Linked DNA regions of Oreochromis niloticus. The protein of the gene in region 1 purifies or fractionates together with the protein of each later gene. This does not show direct contact. Links are inferred from orthologs where the notes say so. Each region holds a gene or a part of one and is shown in the gene's direction. Other genes may lie near its edges.

Evidence for each region. Proteins that work in one complex are often made in the same cells at the same time.
Region 2: the proteins of ccnk (region 1) and cdk12 purify together in Homo sapiens (affinity purification with mass spectrometry; 6 studies listed by BioGRID and IntAct, with this or other methods). This does not show direct contact. The link is inferred for Oreochromis niloticus from reciprocal best matches to the Homo sapiens genes CCNK and CDK12.

What each region holds. Positions count from the first base shown.
Region 1 is NC_031980.2:2,995,033-3,002,931, reverse strand, and holds the start of ccnk (cyclin-K), read left to right. Parts: upstream 1-4,891; 5' UTR 4,892-5,078; coding exon 5,079-5,086; coding exon of another isoform or gene 5,087-5,087; intron 5,088-5,845; coding exon 5,846-6,082; intron 6,083-6,436; coding exon 6,437-6,518; intron 6,519-6,612; coding exon 6,613-6,744; intron 6,745-7,899. Other genes in the region: bcl11bb (B-cell lymphoma/leukemia 11B), read right to left, coding at 207-270. UniProt on the Homo sapiens protein: Regulatory subunit of cyclin-dependent kinases that mediates activation of target kinases.
Region 2 is NC_031969.2:26,959,146-26,966,876, forward strand, and holds the start of cdk12 (cyclin-dependent kinase 12), read left to right. Parts: upstream 1-4,727; 5' UTR 4,728-6,072; coding exon 6,073-7,238; intron 7,239-7,731. Other genes in the region: fbxl20 (F-box/LRR-repeat protein 20), read right to left, coding at 883-924. UniProt on the Homo sapiens protein: Cyclin-dependent kinase that phosphorylates the C-terminal domain (CTD) of the large subunit of RNA polymerase II (POLR2A), thereby acting as a key regulator of transcription elongation.

The sequences.
Region 1 (7,899 bases):
TCGGCGCATTTTTTGCAATCACTGAAAAAAACGTGCTGTCTTCGTGTTTTACTAAAAGAAAAGTGCGTTATTAATCATTTTAGTTGTTTATTTATTTATATTGGCCCGAAAGTCCGAATCGGGCTAAATAATAATATCGACAAAATTGCAAAGCAGTAAATGTTACGATAAAGGAAGTGATGAGCGTGTAAAGATATTAACCTCACCTTGTATTGTCTCCCTGTGCGTCAACGATAAGTGCTGCGGGTTCACCTGCTTGCGGCGGGACATTGCCCCGGCATCTACTCTGGCATCGCCCGGTGAACGGCACTTGGAGTCGGCTTGGACCGTGGTGTCGGTCCTCTCTGGATCACGGGTCCCCGACTTCCCGCTCCCTTTTGTATTCCCCTGCTGCTTTTCACAGTCTTTAGCTGGAACTTTGATTCGTCTTTTTTTCTTTTCTTTTCTTTTTGTTTTTGGAAAGATCACCAGTCGGACAGCAGCGCGATAAGGATGGAGGACCGCTCAGTCCACGGTGTCCTGCTGCGCCTCGGAGGAAGCAACACTTGGATTAAGGACGCCAAAAAAGTGTAGTTTTAGCAAGGAAGCGTCTGCAGACGACCGATGAGCTAATGAGTGCGCCGGTAAAGTGACCTTTTGCAGATTAACCAAAAAGGAAAAGGAAAGGGAAAAAAATCCTGGACTGTCCGCTTCTGCAGCGACCGCGGTGACAGATTAAGTAGCCTACGGAGCACTCCACCAGTGATGGATGTTGTCACCTATTTAACTCCTCTCCCTTTTCTTTAATTTTAATGATATAATTATATCATCTGGGTTCAAATGGTGGCTCTTTAGTTTAGGATTCCCTACAGTCCTTCCATCTCAGCAGTGGCGCGCTACAATGACCCTTTGGCACTGACTCCCCTCGCGCGTTTTGGCATCGGTGCGCAGAAACGGCAACTCTTGGCTCTCGTGGCAGTAGCCGCGTTGATTGAGAGAGGGAGAGAAAGCGACAGAGAGAGAGAGAGAGAGAGCGCAGGCGGGCAGACGGACAAGAGACACCTCCCTCCCCTCCTTCCAACAAGCTCCAGTGTCTCCTATTGAGCCGTCTTTGCAGCTCACACGACGAAACATGCCCTGTTTGGGGCGACCCCGCATGTGTGTGTGTTTGTGTGTGTGGTTGGTGTTGCCTCATTCAAGTTTAAGTGCGTCCAAGACATCAGCCACTACAGAGGTGTGAACGGCAGACAACACAGAGACAATTTGCGGGGGGCAACCAGCAGTGGCTCCCCAGAGCTCCACCACGAGCTTCAGACGCAAACATCACTCAGCAGTGGCTACTTCACAGGCACGCTCACGTCTGGCTATTGGAAGCAGTGTCAAGTTAGCAGCCAAAATTCACCTTCACTTGATTTTTTCTTTTTGGTAATTCTATCACAAATACTATGAAGTAAAACAATCTGATCATTTCACCTTTTACCTATTTAGAACCACCACCACCACCCCTCATCATTGCTTACAGAAGTCTCCCAGGCACGCCAGATGGAAATGATCTTAAAACAAGAACAGCAAACACCTAGATCAGGTCCAAGTCAAACTTGGATGAAGGGTCACCTTTAATTTAGACAATCCTTTGTGTTGCTGTTTGTCGACTATGTAAACGCTGAAGCACTGCACAGGACACATGGCATCATACATGCAGTACTTACTCACATTTGAGTCAGAGGGTGGAAAACCCATGCTGTAGCTTTGTTGTTGGGGATCATTTAAATATGTTGTGAGGCAACAGTACCCTCTGTTGGCACAGTCTGGAGAACCTGTTTAGGCAGTGATACCTTAATGCAGCATTACTAAACTCCATCCCTATTTTTAGAATGAAGCCTCCTTAATTTGCCATTTACACAGTTCAGCGTCTGAGAGAGAGTCCTTGGAAAAGCAGATCGGGTTCACTAAGAGGCAATTAATAGCACTAAGGGAAGGTAATTGCACACGTACAGGTCTGCATTGAGATACAGGTTAGTACAGCCCTAACGCCACCACACCATACAGTCCAAACTGGTGCCGTGCCGTAATTTGCTTGAAATACATTGTTGAATAAAAATAATAGCCTCACACGGCCGTTTAAAGTTGACACTGTTTCCTCGTAGATCAGCAGAGAAGTGTGCAGCCACAGCAATACATTTTACAGCCCGCCATTAATAAAACATGGTGGGCAATTTTAAGAGCATTAGAAGTTTGATTGCTTCGGGGCAGGCCTAGGGGACTTTCAGGACAGTAATTATTTATATAAATGAAATGTCATCTCAGCTCTGGCTCAAGTAGACGTAACCTCAGCAGACGCCACATGGAAACACTACGGCACAACAGCTATCTTTCACAGATAGGCCAAGCATGTTGTCGAGCATATTGCTTTGACTGGAGCGCATAAATTCGATATGTGATATTACACGGAGAGTCTTCGACTCCGCGTCGGGCCAAGAGAGCAACAGCAGTCGTGGACATATTGAATGCTGAAGGAAAACATTATCCTGAGTTCACACACGCTCTCTCTCTCGCTCGCTCTCTTGCCATCCCTGCCGGCTGCGAGCAGCTCCTTGATCCTTACCCATGGGTTTCTCAATAATACATCAATGTCTCCATTATAGCTTGTAACTGCAGGCTCTGGGCAAAGGCAGTTTAAAGCTGGGTTGCATGGGGCCAACATAGCACAAATACCCCGCTTGTGGACACAGGAAAGGTTTTAAGTCCAAATGTTGCCTCCAAGGAGACATGCATCTCTCATGCTAAGTGTGGTCGCTCAAGAGGAGGTACCTGAACACACCACGGGGCAACATCCAAGCAAGATGTGAAAGTTTTGTCCAACTTACAAGGGGCCACGGTGCTGACATGCAATCGCTTTTTCCAGAATCTACTGAATTTAGAAAGATCTGCCTCGTTTGTAACTTACAGTTAAAATAATGAGCCCGGTGACAAAGTTTTTAAAAAAATTAGGAGCTTTTGCATTTGAGTGGACACGCGGCTCACCCGGCTTTGATTCTGGGTCACCTCCATCATTGCATCCCTTACATCTTCCATTTTTCATGTCCCTCCCATTTATTTACTCTCTAAAGAATACAACAAAGACATTAATACAGTATCCTAAAATAGACTAATGTACATGACGGAAACTGCACTTTATACAGTTTTTAGGGTTAAGTGTGCAGACCTTTCGAGACAGTCTTCAATGCGTTTAACCACAGCGTGACAGAGCTGACATAAACAATGAAAGGTCCACTCCAGGAGAGCTGGGGTAATATGAATATTGCTCTGGGATTTGCTTATAGTCGGCGCTTCATTATGCAATGTTTAATATTAATAAAGAAAGTATAAGTATATATTATTCATAAGCTGATTTACGGTGGCTGGTGTGTGTGTGTGTGTGTGTGTGTGTGTGTGTGTGTGGATTTGAGTGACAGATTGAGATGCTCCCTTGCTACAGGCAATACAACTAGACAAGGCTCTTACTTTTCTACAGGACACATCCTGACAATTTCTCCCACAGTTAAGAGGATTTGTCCGAGCAGGGGTGAATATATAATGCATGCAGATTCCAAATTTTAATTTGGACGGAGTAAATGATTCAATGCTGGCTTTTCTCAGAAGTGAGACTGGGCGGGAGGGGGATGCAGAGGGCACAAGATGTTACTTGCAAACCCCGCTCTTATGCAGTGACATTTAAACAAGTACAGATGATGCTGCACCTTTCACATGTCAACAACAGGAGCCTAAAGGAAAATTACTTTTCTAATATTTTCATTTTCCTGCTTAAAATTCCTTTTTGGTTAATATGATAGCAAGTTTCCATTACCAATAAACACCACAAACAACTTCTTTTTTTGTCCTAATCAGTCCCTTTTCTCACCTTCTCCTTTGCAGCAGGGTGAGGTGGTAAACTTTCATAATCTGTCCTGTCTCACAACCTTCATGTTTGAACTCAGATGCCATCGTGACAGATAATACATGATAATTATTTGCAGTTTGAATCTCATGTGCATATATTGTTTTGCGTATTAATTAATATCATCGTCATTCTGTGCATACAGCTCAAAACCAACATTTAAGGTAAATTTTAAACGTGTACGTGTTGTTTGATTAGATATAAATAACTCACGAGTAATATAGAAGATAACGCCGGCACTGAGTTAAAAAATGAGGGATTTGCTTGTGTTTAATCAGTAAAATAAACCAGCAATGTTTATTTTAGGGAGTCAGACAGAGTAGATTTGGACCCAGTGTTCTTTAGTATGTGCACTCTCAGGCAAATACCAGCAAAACTCATCTACTCTTAGATCCAGTTGTGCATCAGCAGTCTGTTTGTAACATATACAGGAGTATAAAAATCTATAGGTATCAAACGACAAAGGAAAATCTGCTTCAGTTTATGTATTATACGTGTTTAACCTTGTCATTTTTTCTTTTTAATTTAATTTTTAACTTACCTGCAGATTCACATTTATACTGGTCACAACTCATACTTGTTTGATTGGGTTCCTTTTACATCCTGCTACTGCTACATCCAGTGATATTTCTTGTAAGGAGCATATTTCTATGTTTGGGTGTTACCTGCTGCAGGACTCACCAGGTGTGAAAATAACCGGTGACTATTCAGCACAATGTAAATAATATTTGCTTGCTTGCTTGTAATTTGCACATGTAAACTATTTGGTCAATGCTAAGTCAATGCTGACCGCCAAGGTCCAAGAGTGAATCTGTGTCTCCCTCTAGTGGATATTATTGGGAATATCATCCTTTAGATTATTATCAAGAATATAAGAATTTAAAATGTTTTCAGGAAAGGCGGGCTGTTTCCAGCAGCGCTAGTTAGACTTAAAACACGAATGAAATTAATGTAGCAGCGGAAATGGAAAGAAAAATGTGACCCGAGAGCACGTGTACATGAGTGCCTGCGTGATGACGTCTTCCAATGGTCTGACGTACCGCAAAATGGTGGTGCCCTTGTTACAATGGGGTCTGTTGTTCACTTGTTAGCCAACTTATTGTGATCAACTGTGGATTATTGCTACAACTGTCTGATTTAGGCGATTTATTCGGACGTCTACATGTTAAAGGTAAGAGTTGTGTCTCGTTGGAAGCGGGAGGGAGATGAAGAGGCTGAATTCTGAACTACTTGTGACATGTCGGAAGCTTCGGCGTTAACACCGAGTTGAGCAAGTTTGCTAGCCGAGGTTTAGCTAGCCGAGGCTGGTGCAGAGTGGCCCTGTCGATGTGACAGCGTTGGTTGCCTTCAGTTGGAGAGTTTCATAAATGTTAGCCTATCGGCGCGTTTAAGCCACTTCGAGTGTGTGGCTCATGTTATCCTAATCTCCGCCCCTTGCTGCTTTTTTAGTTTTACGAAGCTAAGTTACCATCACAGCTAACAGTGCCAGCAGTAGCGGGTTCGTTGCAAAGCATTTTCGCTGTGTCTACATTAGGCTGTTGATTCTGCTGTGCTGCTGTAGGCACACTGGGAGACGAGATTTACACATGCATGGAAATTATAGATATATTATGTTGCTGTCTGAATCCATTTTACTCATCTATTTATTTACAACGAGCCTGGACTTGGAGCACAATGCAGCTCAGAAATGTTTGCTGCTCTTTAGCGTTTCACACTGTGGACTACAAGCTAATTACACTGTTTATAAGCCTGAGTGTGTGTATAAAACTACGCTATGGCCTACACAAAATAGCGAGTGGACGTAAACTCGTGGCCAGGTTATAGGCAGATTTGTGGTACTCTTTGCCTGAACGTAAATATTTACTTGTGTAAGCTATGCTGTTTAATGCTTTGCTGCCCTTAGTGATGATCCTTTTTATTTTTATCTCCGCAGTCCAGCACAGCGGGTCCATCCACCGCCTCTCCTCAATCAATGAAGGAATCCAAGGAAAATTCGTCAATGACGGGCCAGGCAATCTTGGACCATATAAAACCATGCTGGTACTGGGACAAGAAGGATTTAGCCCACACGCCCTCTCAGTCTGAGGGTCTGGACCCTGGCACAGAGGCCCGGTATCGCAGAGAAGGGGCTCGCTTCATATTCGACGTGGGGACCCGACTTGGCCTGTATCCTTGATTTAGATGATAGATTTATTGCTACAGCTACAAGAGAAAGGGTCACACGATTAATCAGTGCCACATGCTTCAGTTTTATAGTTAAAGATAAACAGACTTTTAAAAAGCAGTACATCTGAAAACGTCTTTTATGGCTGTCTTGTCCTTTCTCACAGAACCTACTTTGATGTGAATGTGAACATTTTTACAGGGTTTGTCTGATATACTTATATATATAATGATGTTTGTGGAATCATTATTAAAAGAAAAAAACTTTTTTCTTTTTAATTTAAAGAGTCACACGTTAAAGCTGATATTTTGCAAATGACCATTATTAGTCTTTGTGAGTCCTTGACCTGCATTTAGACACTACGACACACTGGCAACGGGCATCATATATTTCCACCGCTTCTACATGTTTCACTCCTTCAAGCAGTTTCCCAGATATGTAAGTAAATCTAATGGTCCCTGATTGTTTCACTCCTGGAAGCAGACCTGATGTTTGTAATGGTGAAGTAATGGTGTGATATGTGTCTCGACAGGTGACGGGAGCTTGTTGTCTTTTCTTGGCTGGTAAAGTAGAGGAAACCCCAAAGAAGTGCAAAGATATCATTAAAACTGCCCGCAGCCTCCTGAATGATGTGCAGTTTGCACAGTTTGGAGATGATCCCAAGGTGCAGTTCCTTGTATTCACCTTTGTTTTGAGATGTTTTTGCCTTGTGATAGCAGAAGCAGAATGGGTGTGAATACCTGTTAAAAACAGGTAGTGTGTAGTGGTCACAGGCCTCACTGTGATACAGGCAGATGACAATAATAACAGCGTCACTAATGCTTGAATAAATGAGGTCCTGGTAAAACTGAAGACTGAGTTTTCAATAACCTAAAAAGTTCCTTACTTATTTTTTTTAGTGATCAGGGCTTTTATTTACCTTAGCTGCCTGTAAGTGAGGCAGGCTTGCATTACAAACAAACTTTTATTCCTCGCTTTTATTAGAATAACTGTCTGTGTTCACTTGCATACAAAGCTTTGCTCAAACACGCTTACATTTCTTTAGTTTTAAGCTGGTGCATTAGGTGCGTAATACCACAGTAAGCCATGACTCATTCTTTAAACAGATCAGCGAGGTCATCAGAGCGTCACTCAGCACAGCTTTATGTGCCCTGACTCACAGAGACAGTAATCAGACCAGTTACCCTCTGCTGTCATGGGGTCAAAACCAAACAAGAACAAGTTTTAAATGCAGTGGAGTATGATTATGTCATTATGCCTCTTCACGTCTTTGCTATTAAAAACACACAACTCCCTCTCAACATTCAAGATTTTTCTTTTTTCCTCTTACCAGTTGGCGAGCTAAAATATCTATTAGCATGAAGTAGCCTCTGTTTCACTTAATCTGACCTTGAGTACTTTTGATAGAGCATGCATTTGTGACATCTGGACCTGGCTTATAACTTGACACTTTATTAGACACGTTTACAGCAAACACTCTTCTGGATTAGATCCAGCACTCATATGGAGCGGCACAAGCATCATACAGACGGCTTGTTTGCTTTCCAAGTCGCTCTTTAACTTGTTTAGCGTCATGCTAGAATTAGCCAGTGTCCTGGCTTTTCTCACCAGTTTTTAGTAGCTTAACTACTGTCATTAAGTCAGAATTGTACATTAGCTTCTTTCTTACTCAAGTGTTTTTAAATGAAAAGTTCAGACATTTGACTCTCATCTGGCTTATCGTTACTAATTGGAAGTAAAGGTAATGGAAACTTGCCATTCATTGCCAAAATGAGCTTTCATGTTTTTTAACATGTGCAGTATTTCCAGCGCCTACAGC
Region 2 (7,731 bases), on another chromosome or scaffold:
TGTTCACCGTTAAAAATAAATAAAACCACACACAAATCCCACGCTAGCTGGGGATTAAACAACATCAAATGCTCGGGCTATACAGGCCAATGTCAGTGGCCGCATACATTTGTTTGTATACAAGTTCGCACCAAAATATTCAGCTACGCTTGCGCGGCTGCGACACAAAGTTTATGGTAATAGCCTTGCATTGGAAAAAAAAAAAAAACGAACAACAACGACACTGTAGGTAGACAGCGTACATATGGGCATTTTTAGACGAGTATAGGTTATGATGTGTGTTGCACTGTTGTAGCTCGGCACTATTTTCAGATATTTTGTGCTAACACCGGGTGCAGGTAGCAGACTGAGGCCACCACCGCCGCAGCGGCTATAGATATAGCATACATAACAAGGTCTCAAAAGAGAGAAGGGGGAAACTTAACAATCCTGCCTATAAGGATAATTTTAAGCAGCTTCTTTTCAAAGTGAAACACCTAAATCCTCAACTTCTGCTCATTATGTTGACGTGTGCCGAAGCTTTCCTCGGCGTGCTCTGTGTAGCCTCATTGTCTTTGTTTTGACGGCGCAAAGGGAAACGAGGACAACGTTTAAAGAGCACTCAAAATGCCTTGAAAGTGGCTGCGAGCAGCACGTCGGCTTTAGTGGAAAATACCGACGTGCGTCCTCACCACGCCAGGCCTATATGTTGTTTGAATAACACAACAGTGTTTGACCTAATCCCAAACACCGACTGCGGAAGCTGCATCAATAGCCTCCCCATAAGCGCAGTTTTATAATAATTATAGCAACAGTCAACACGCAGGCCCGCATCCTAGCGGTTATATCGGCTATTTTAAATGTGTTTCAGTGACTGTCAGTTGATGGAAATAATTAACTCACCTCAAACCGGCTCCGCGAAACACCATTTACCTCCTTCCCCATGTCGGACGCTGGTAAACCGACTCAATGGATTCGGTGTAGGCGCAGTAAAATGCAGATACGGGCCCTCTCCACGATTATCATGCTACCGTCCTCTCGGTAGCTCCGGTGGTTTGATGTATTTTGACCTGTACCACGAACCACAAAACCTCTAGTTACCGATAAAAACAAATCATATGGATTGCGAGCAGCAGCAAGCCAGCCATAAGCCACTTCTCTTATCAGCTCGATTCGCCCTCACCTCCTCCTCCCCCTATAAGCACAGCTTTCTATCCATCCACACAATAGCCCGACAGGAATGGGGCAGACTAAAATTCAACCGGTACAACCCCTACATCCATAATAAATAAATAACATTAATATGAAAAATAATAAATATAATGACCTTGCTCAGTGCGCACTATTTCTCGCTCGCTGGCTGCTCCTTTAACCAAAGCTCACAGAGGAGCAAATATAAATATCAAAGTGGGGTGTCAACCATTTGCCCGCACACGTAGCATGAATACCTATGGGTTTGGGGCCACATGTTATAATTAAAAAGTTAGATCAGATTCAAAGTTCATACGGACTTTGTGAGAAAACACAGGCTAAAAATTATGTTTCTCGTATAGTATGAAACAAAAACATCTGAAGTGAAGTGCATGTCTGATATGAGTTCTGCCACTTGAAGACCTTTCCACTGTATTAAAAACAGTATTAAAACCAGAATAGAACCTGTGAGTTCGGCCTTTTATTAACTATCAGTAACGGCTAACACTCGTTTTTAGGTTATTCTATCTCATCTTCTGTTATTAAACATTCCAACTTTGTTATTGCAATAGGGAAACGCCACTTCCTCGTTTCTCCTCGGGCACACCCCTCTTCAACAGCGTGTCCAATCAGCATCCAAGGACGGCAGCTCGTAATACTGCGTCATCGTAGAGCGTAAAACTAACATGCCAGTCAACACTGAGCATTCAATATATCTATAGCAAAGCCAGTGATAGCTAATATGTTCTCTTAATTTCTAATACGCAAATAGTAGTGTGTGACTGGGGTATGGTGCTCTGTAACTTTAAGAAAACAGTGATTTTCAATTGATCAATTATCTCCTGATGCGCCTTAGGATAAAGAAACACCTTTTAAAATGTGTGTAAACAATATACTCTTTTTGGGTTCTTTTAGTCCCAAAGTTTGAATTTGAAGAGGACCTTTGCATCTTTTGTTCTTTACTCACTGGCCACTTTATTAGATACATCTGTTCAACCGCTCTTTAATGCAGCTATCTAATCAACCAATCGCATGGCAACAACTCAATGTATTTCAGCTTCTAGAAATGGTCAAGTAGATTTGTTGAAGTTCAAATTTATCATCAGAATGGAGAAGAAAAAGTTATTTAAGAGATTTTGAATGTTACTTGGTTGTTGGTGCCAGATAGTCTGGTGTGAGTATTTTAGAAACTGCTGATCTACAGGGATTTTCCCACACAACTGTTTCTAGGGTTTACAGGGAACGGTCCAAAATAAAGAGGAAATATCCAGTGAGCAGCAGTTCTCTGGGTGAAAATGGCTTGTTGATGTCAGAGGTCAGAGGAGAGTGGCGAGACTGCTTCAAGCTGTGTGAAAGGCAACAGCCACTCAAATAACCACTCGTCACAACCAATCTATGCAGAAGAGCAATCATGAATGCACAACACATCAAACCTTGGAAAAACGTTATCTGGTCTGATAAGTCTTGCAACATTTGGATCTTCGGATATTCTGATGGCTGCTTCCAGCACGATAACATGCCATGTTGCAGAGCTCAAATAACTGGTTTCCTTAAATGACAGTGAGTTCACTGTACTCTAACAGCTTCTAGAATCAACAGATCACAATCCAATAGAGCCCCTTTGGGATGTGATGTATAATGGGAGCTTTATATCATGGATGTGCAGCTGACAAATTTGTAGCAACTGTGTGATGCTATGATGTCAATATGGATCAAAATGTTTTCAGGATCTTATTGCATCTGTGCCATGAATAATTAAGGCAGTTCTGAAGGCAAGTGTCTCGGTACTGGCAAAGTGTACCTAATAAAATCAGTTATGAGTGTATATGCAAATGTGTTAATCTACAAAAATACACACCCAGAAAGAGGCATACAGTAGAAGACAATTTTATCCCTAAAGGAATAATCCAAACAAATGTGCTCTCTAGTACTGTTCATTGGACCTCAGTGTTTTAATACTCTTAATATGTGATATGTGGGAGCTACCTGGTTTCCTATTTCAGTTACAAGTAAGGCATTAAATACCTGACTAGGTTTATTCTGTCTAGGTCTTGTATATCAGTGACATAGAGGTGCAGATGATAGTACTGTTTTCTCACAGAAATAAGGTCGGGGTTCAGCCTTTTCCAGGCATTTTCTTGATTTTCTTTGGTCCAAAGACAGATGCTTGTTATGTTAATGGAGTAGTTTTCAAACGGTGTGTTGTTACCAGGGAAAAATGTTGAAGGTTTTCTGAAGGTGGGGCATTAAAAAAACAGTTTGACAACAGAGATGTGAGATAGATAAAGCTCTGAATATTAAGGAAGACTAGAAAAGAAATAGTTAGTTCACATGAATGAAAGTTAAATTCCAAGTATAGGAATGACAAGTAATATAAAATGTGTTTATATACCCAATTTTACTAGTCTTTTAAAGGGTTTGTTTTTGTATTATCACATTATATTAAAAAATTAACACCCAAAACTTGCTCTGTGAAGTACAAACCACAAGCGTATAAATAGGTACCTGCTGTCAAAAAAAAACGATGTGCGACTTTCATGAAAATTAAGGAAGAAAACATTGGGGTTAACTTTAAAGTTTAGCAAGATTTACATGTAAGATAATCGGTAGATTATCCGTAGTAGCAGTTAACGGACTTTAGTTGGATCTAAATGAAGCAGCTAGGGTGCCTTCACACTGGCTGCACCGCAAGCTAAAAAAACCATAATCACTGTTGAAAAATTCTCACATTCATTATTTTATTTTATTTTATTTTTAGATAAAGAACAAAATATTCATTATTCAATCATTTTGAGGAAATATCCCAAAAGCATGCTTTTCCCAAAAAAGCTCTCTCTCGGTCGTACTTTTGCATGACTTTTTGTTTTAACACTCCTCCAGTAGCAGGATATGAACAAGTGCAACAAATAGAGTGAAGAAAGGGAGGTCATCGGGGGACAAAGAGACATCAGAGGGAACAACAACAAGAACTGTGTCTTTGTGTGTGTGTCTGTAGCTTGAAAGAGTTTTATCAGAAAGACATAGAAAAGTTTTGACCCAGAAATGCCTTATTTGTGTGTTTCGTAAAGATCCAGGCCTCAATTTCAACCAGCAGACATGTCAGTGTGTTTTGTTTTGTTTTTGTGTGTGTGTATAAATGCACTTAAATATAGCATTGTCCTTAAAAAATCTGAAAGATCTCTGCTTAATTATCCATTTGATATCATATACTTTTAGTGAAACTGTGCATTGTGATAACTACTTTATTTTTTTCAGTAAGATAAAGTACAGCTCTCTATTTAAAATATACTGTGTACACGTAAACCTGAAAATCCTAAACCACAGATACCCACAGGGAAACTGTCACATGTCAGTCACAGGGCAAGAACATATGCTGTTTTTCTTTCATGGCAGCTTTGGTTCATTCACTGCCTTCCAAGTGACCATTGTCTGATTGTTGTATTGTTTAAGACATGTAGATTTCTATTTATTTTACCAATACGCAGGATGCTGATCCATCTGCTGATCCATCTGCTGATATGTAAAGTACTATTAAGGAGACAAGCCCAAACATAAAGTCATGCTTTGGTGGATTTCTCCTAAACACTTTGCAAGATCTTCTCTTTGCTTTTTTTTTTCCTACTAGAGCATTACTTAAACATGGATTTCTCTGGGATAGCATAATAAAAGACTACTATATTTTGAAAGACGCCCACCTAAGACTGGACCTCATGCTTATCTTGTGAAGCAGAACTTATTAAAAAGACCTTACCATGTAAGTTAATGAACCTTAGTAGTAGGTTAAATATGTTGACGCTTTCAGGACCCAGAGGCAGTTGCCTGCTGCCTGTTGATAATAAGACTTTGCTCTATTATCTTTGCCCCAGTGTCTTCCTTTTCTGTTCCAACAAGCTCAACATTTAACAACCCATCATGAGCCTGACATCTAACATGTGTGTTGTTTTAAATGTGTTATCTGAAACTTGGAAAGTTTTTAAAAACGTACTTTTGCAAATTAGTACATATCTCTTCATTTTACGTCTCTGTCGTGTCGCCATGAGGACGGTGGGCGGGATCTTTGCGCTGATAGGAAGTTGCTCGGATACAGTCAAGATTGGCAGTGCTCCGTCTTCCGGTTCAATCGGCTGTGCGCAGAAGTTGCTAGTTACAGGAGCCATAATGGCGTTTGTAGTCTCCTTGAGCTAGGGCTGTGGATGATATTAAATCCACTAGCATCGCCCTAAATATAGGCCTGGTTGATTTCCAGAGCCATTGATAATAAACTGGAACATCTCCTGCACACGAAAATATTATAATTTCTTATCAATATTGAATTTATAGGGGATAAAACTTACATTAAAGGGAACATGTAAACAGTACCAACCGGGTCAAGTTTTCATTTTGTTGGAGAAACGAGCGTCTTTTAATGAAGGCATTTGCTTGTTTCTGAATGCTAAGACCGTATTCTGTGGAATAAAAACACCTTTACTTAACTTGGCACCGGACAAGGACAGCTTTCACAAAGGGACTTTTTTTCTTTTTTAGGAGTCAGCTCGCTAGCTGCCGAGCTTTAGCTAGCTGTGCTAGCTAAACTGAGACGGAGACGACACCACAATGATCCGATGTTTGGTTGGAGTCTTTTTCATTCGCTGACTAACTGAAAGTACAAACTTCGCAGCACTGGAAAACCAACTTGGCATTTATCTGCTTTGACGAAATATGCTGGCGATCTCAATGGAATGAATTGGCATTGAGGAGAAGTGGACGTAAGCGGCCTGGTGTGTTTATTTTTGTATTTTCTTGTCCTGATTCTGCTTAGTAAGACTTGTTTTGACATTTGGAGTTGCTACTGGTCTCCTGTGAATGAATTGCCTGGATCACCGAGGCCAAGTCGCAGAAGAGGCACCGACGCCGACGTGAGGGATGCCTGGGTCGGACCGACACCATGGGACCAAGAGGAAGCCGGAATCTAGCATCGGTGGTGTGCCACACCAGAACCAGGGCCCGACTCATACCTCTGCGGGAGACATGATGAGCAAGGACGGCAAGGTGCAGTTAAAAACTTCAATGTCCTCCTCTTCTTTAAAACGCAAACGGCATAAATCAACAAAACATAATCGGGAATCCTTGGCGGCACCTGACGATTTTACCCTCGGCGATACGGCGCCTCCTGGTGTCAACACGGTGAAGCCTCTAGTGGAGTACGACGATATTAGCTCCGACTCGGACACCTTCTCGGACCCACCGTCCTCCAGGCCTTTTGAGAGGGGGGGAAATCGACTGGAACCCTCGCCAGACTACGATAGGGATATTGGCGAAGAAGAAGGTAATAGAGAGAGCAGGGGGCACAGACACCCACGAAAAAAGTCCAAGGACACTAACAAAGTTAGAGAATCTGGAAATGGAGAACGTGGGTACAAGAAAAAGAGCAGTAAAGATCGCGAGAAAGTGACTTCTGGAAAGGGCAAGGAGGAGGCCTCGTCAGGCTCCTCATCTAAACGCCAGGTGCCGTCAGAGGGTGACTCCAAACGTGGGGAGCTGATGCTCTCCTCCCAGGCACCGCCTGCAGCCAGTGTAGGTAGCACTACTTCTTCCACATCCTCATCTCGCAGTAAGGAGAGCAGCCGCTCAGGGAAGTCTCGCAAAGACAGGCAACAGCGGAGAGAAGGCCGAGGGGAGGCCAGTCGCAGCTCCTCCCAGAGGAGCCGGACAGATAGAAGCCATCGCAAGTCCTCTAAGAGCCACAAGTCAAGCCCGAAGGGGAAGTCTTCAAGTAGGGGTAGCCCACGGAGAAAGGGCACCAGCTCTGCATTGTCGCCGAGTCCCAGAAGAGGGGCCGGCAGTGAGAGTCCACTGGGCAGTGGGTATGGACATCAGGGGGATGACAGCTACTCTAGACGGAGGGCGGCCCAGCAAAGCCCGAGTCCCTATGGTGATGTGTCTCGTCGTAGCAGGCAGAGATCAGACAGCCCCTACGGCAGCAGACACAGGTCCTCCAGCTTTGAGAGGGACAGCAGCCCTTACTCTAGGAGACGCTCCATGAGCCCCTATGGTAACCGCAGGTCCTCCAGTACGAGCCCCATGTCTCGGTGAGTATATGCTGTAGGTCACCCTTAAAATCTATTGGGAATTATGTTCTAGAGACATTTACTCATTAAGCCACCTTCCATAGAGGTTTTGCATATTTCCAGCACCTTCACTTTGCATGCATTTTAAGTTTGAGGTTAGACAAATATGTTGAACTTGGAGAGGGCTTTTCACTCCAGCTAATCGATCTCTGTATTGAAGTTGAAATTTACCATACATAACAGACAAAAGCTTGAGAGTGAGAAAATTACAGGATGGAGATTGGCAATACGTGTATTTGAAAACAGGGTTTACCTTAAGCTGTCATTTCAATTCAAAAAGAGAAGCTTAGGGCACTACACCCTGGCTCTGTGACCATAAGTATTTGTGTTCATAATTACCTTTGAGCTATAGAGTACATACTTGCCACTGATTTCAGAAAAAGACAGCTGTCTTTAATGAAACCCGGTACTTAGTTTTAGGAGTGCTTCACATTCTTTTATAGAGAAGGTAACA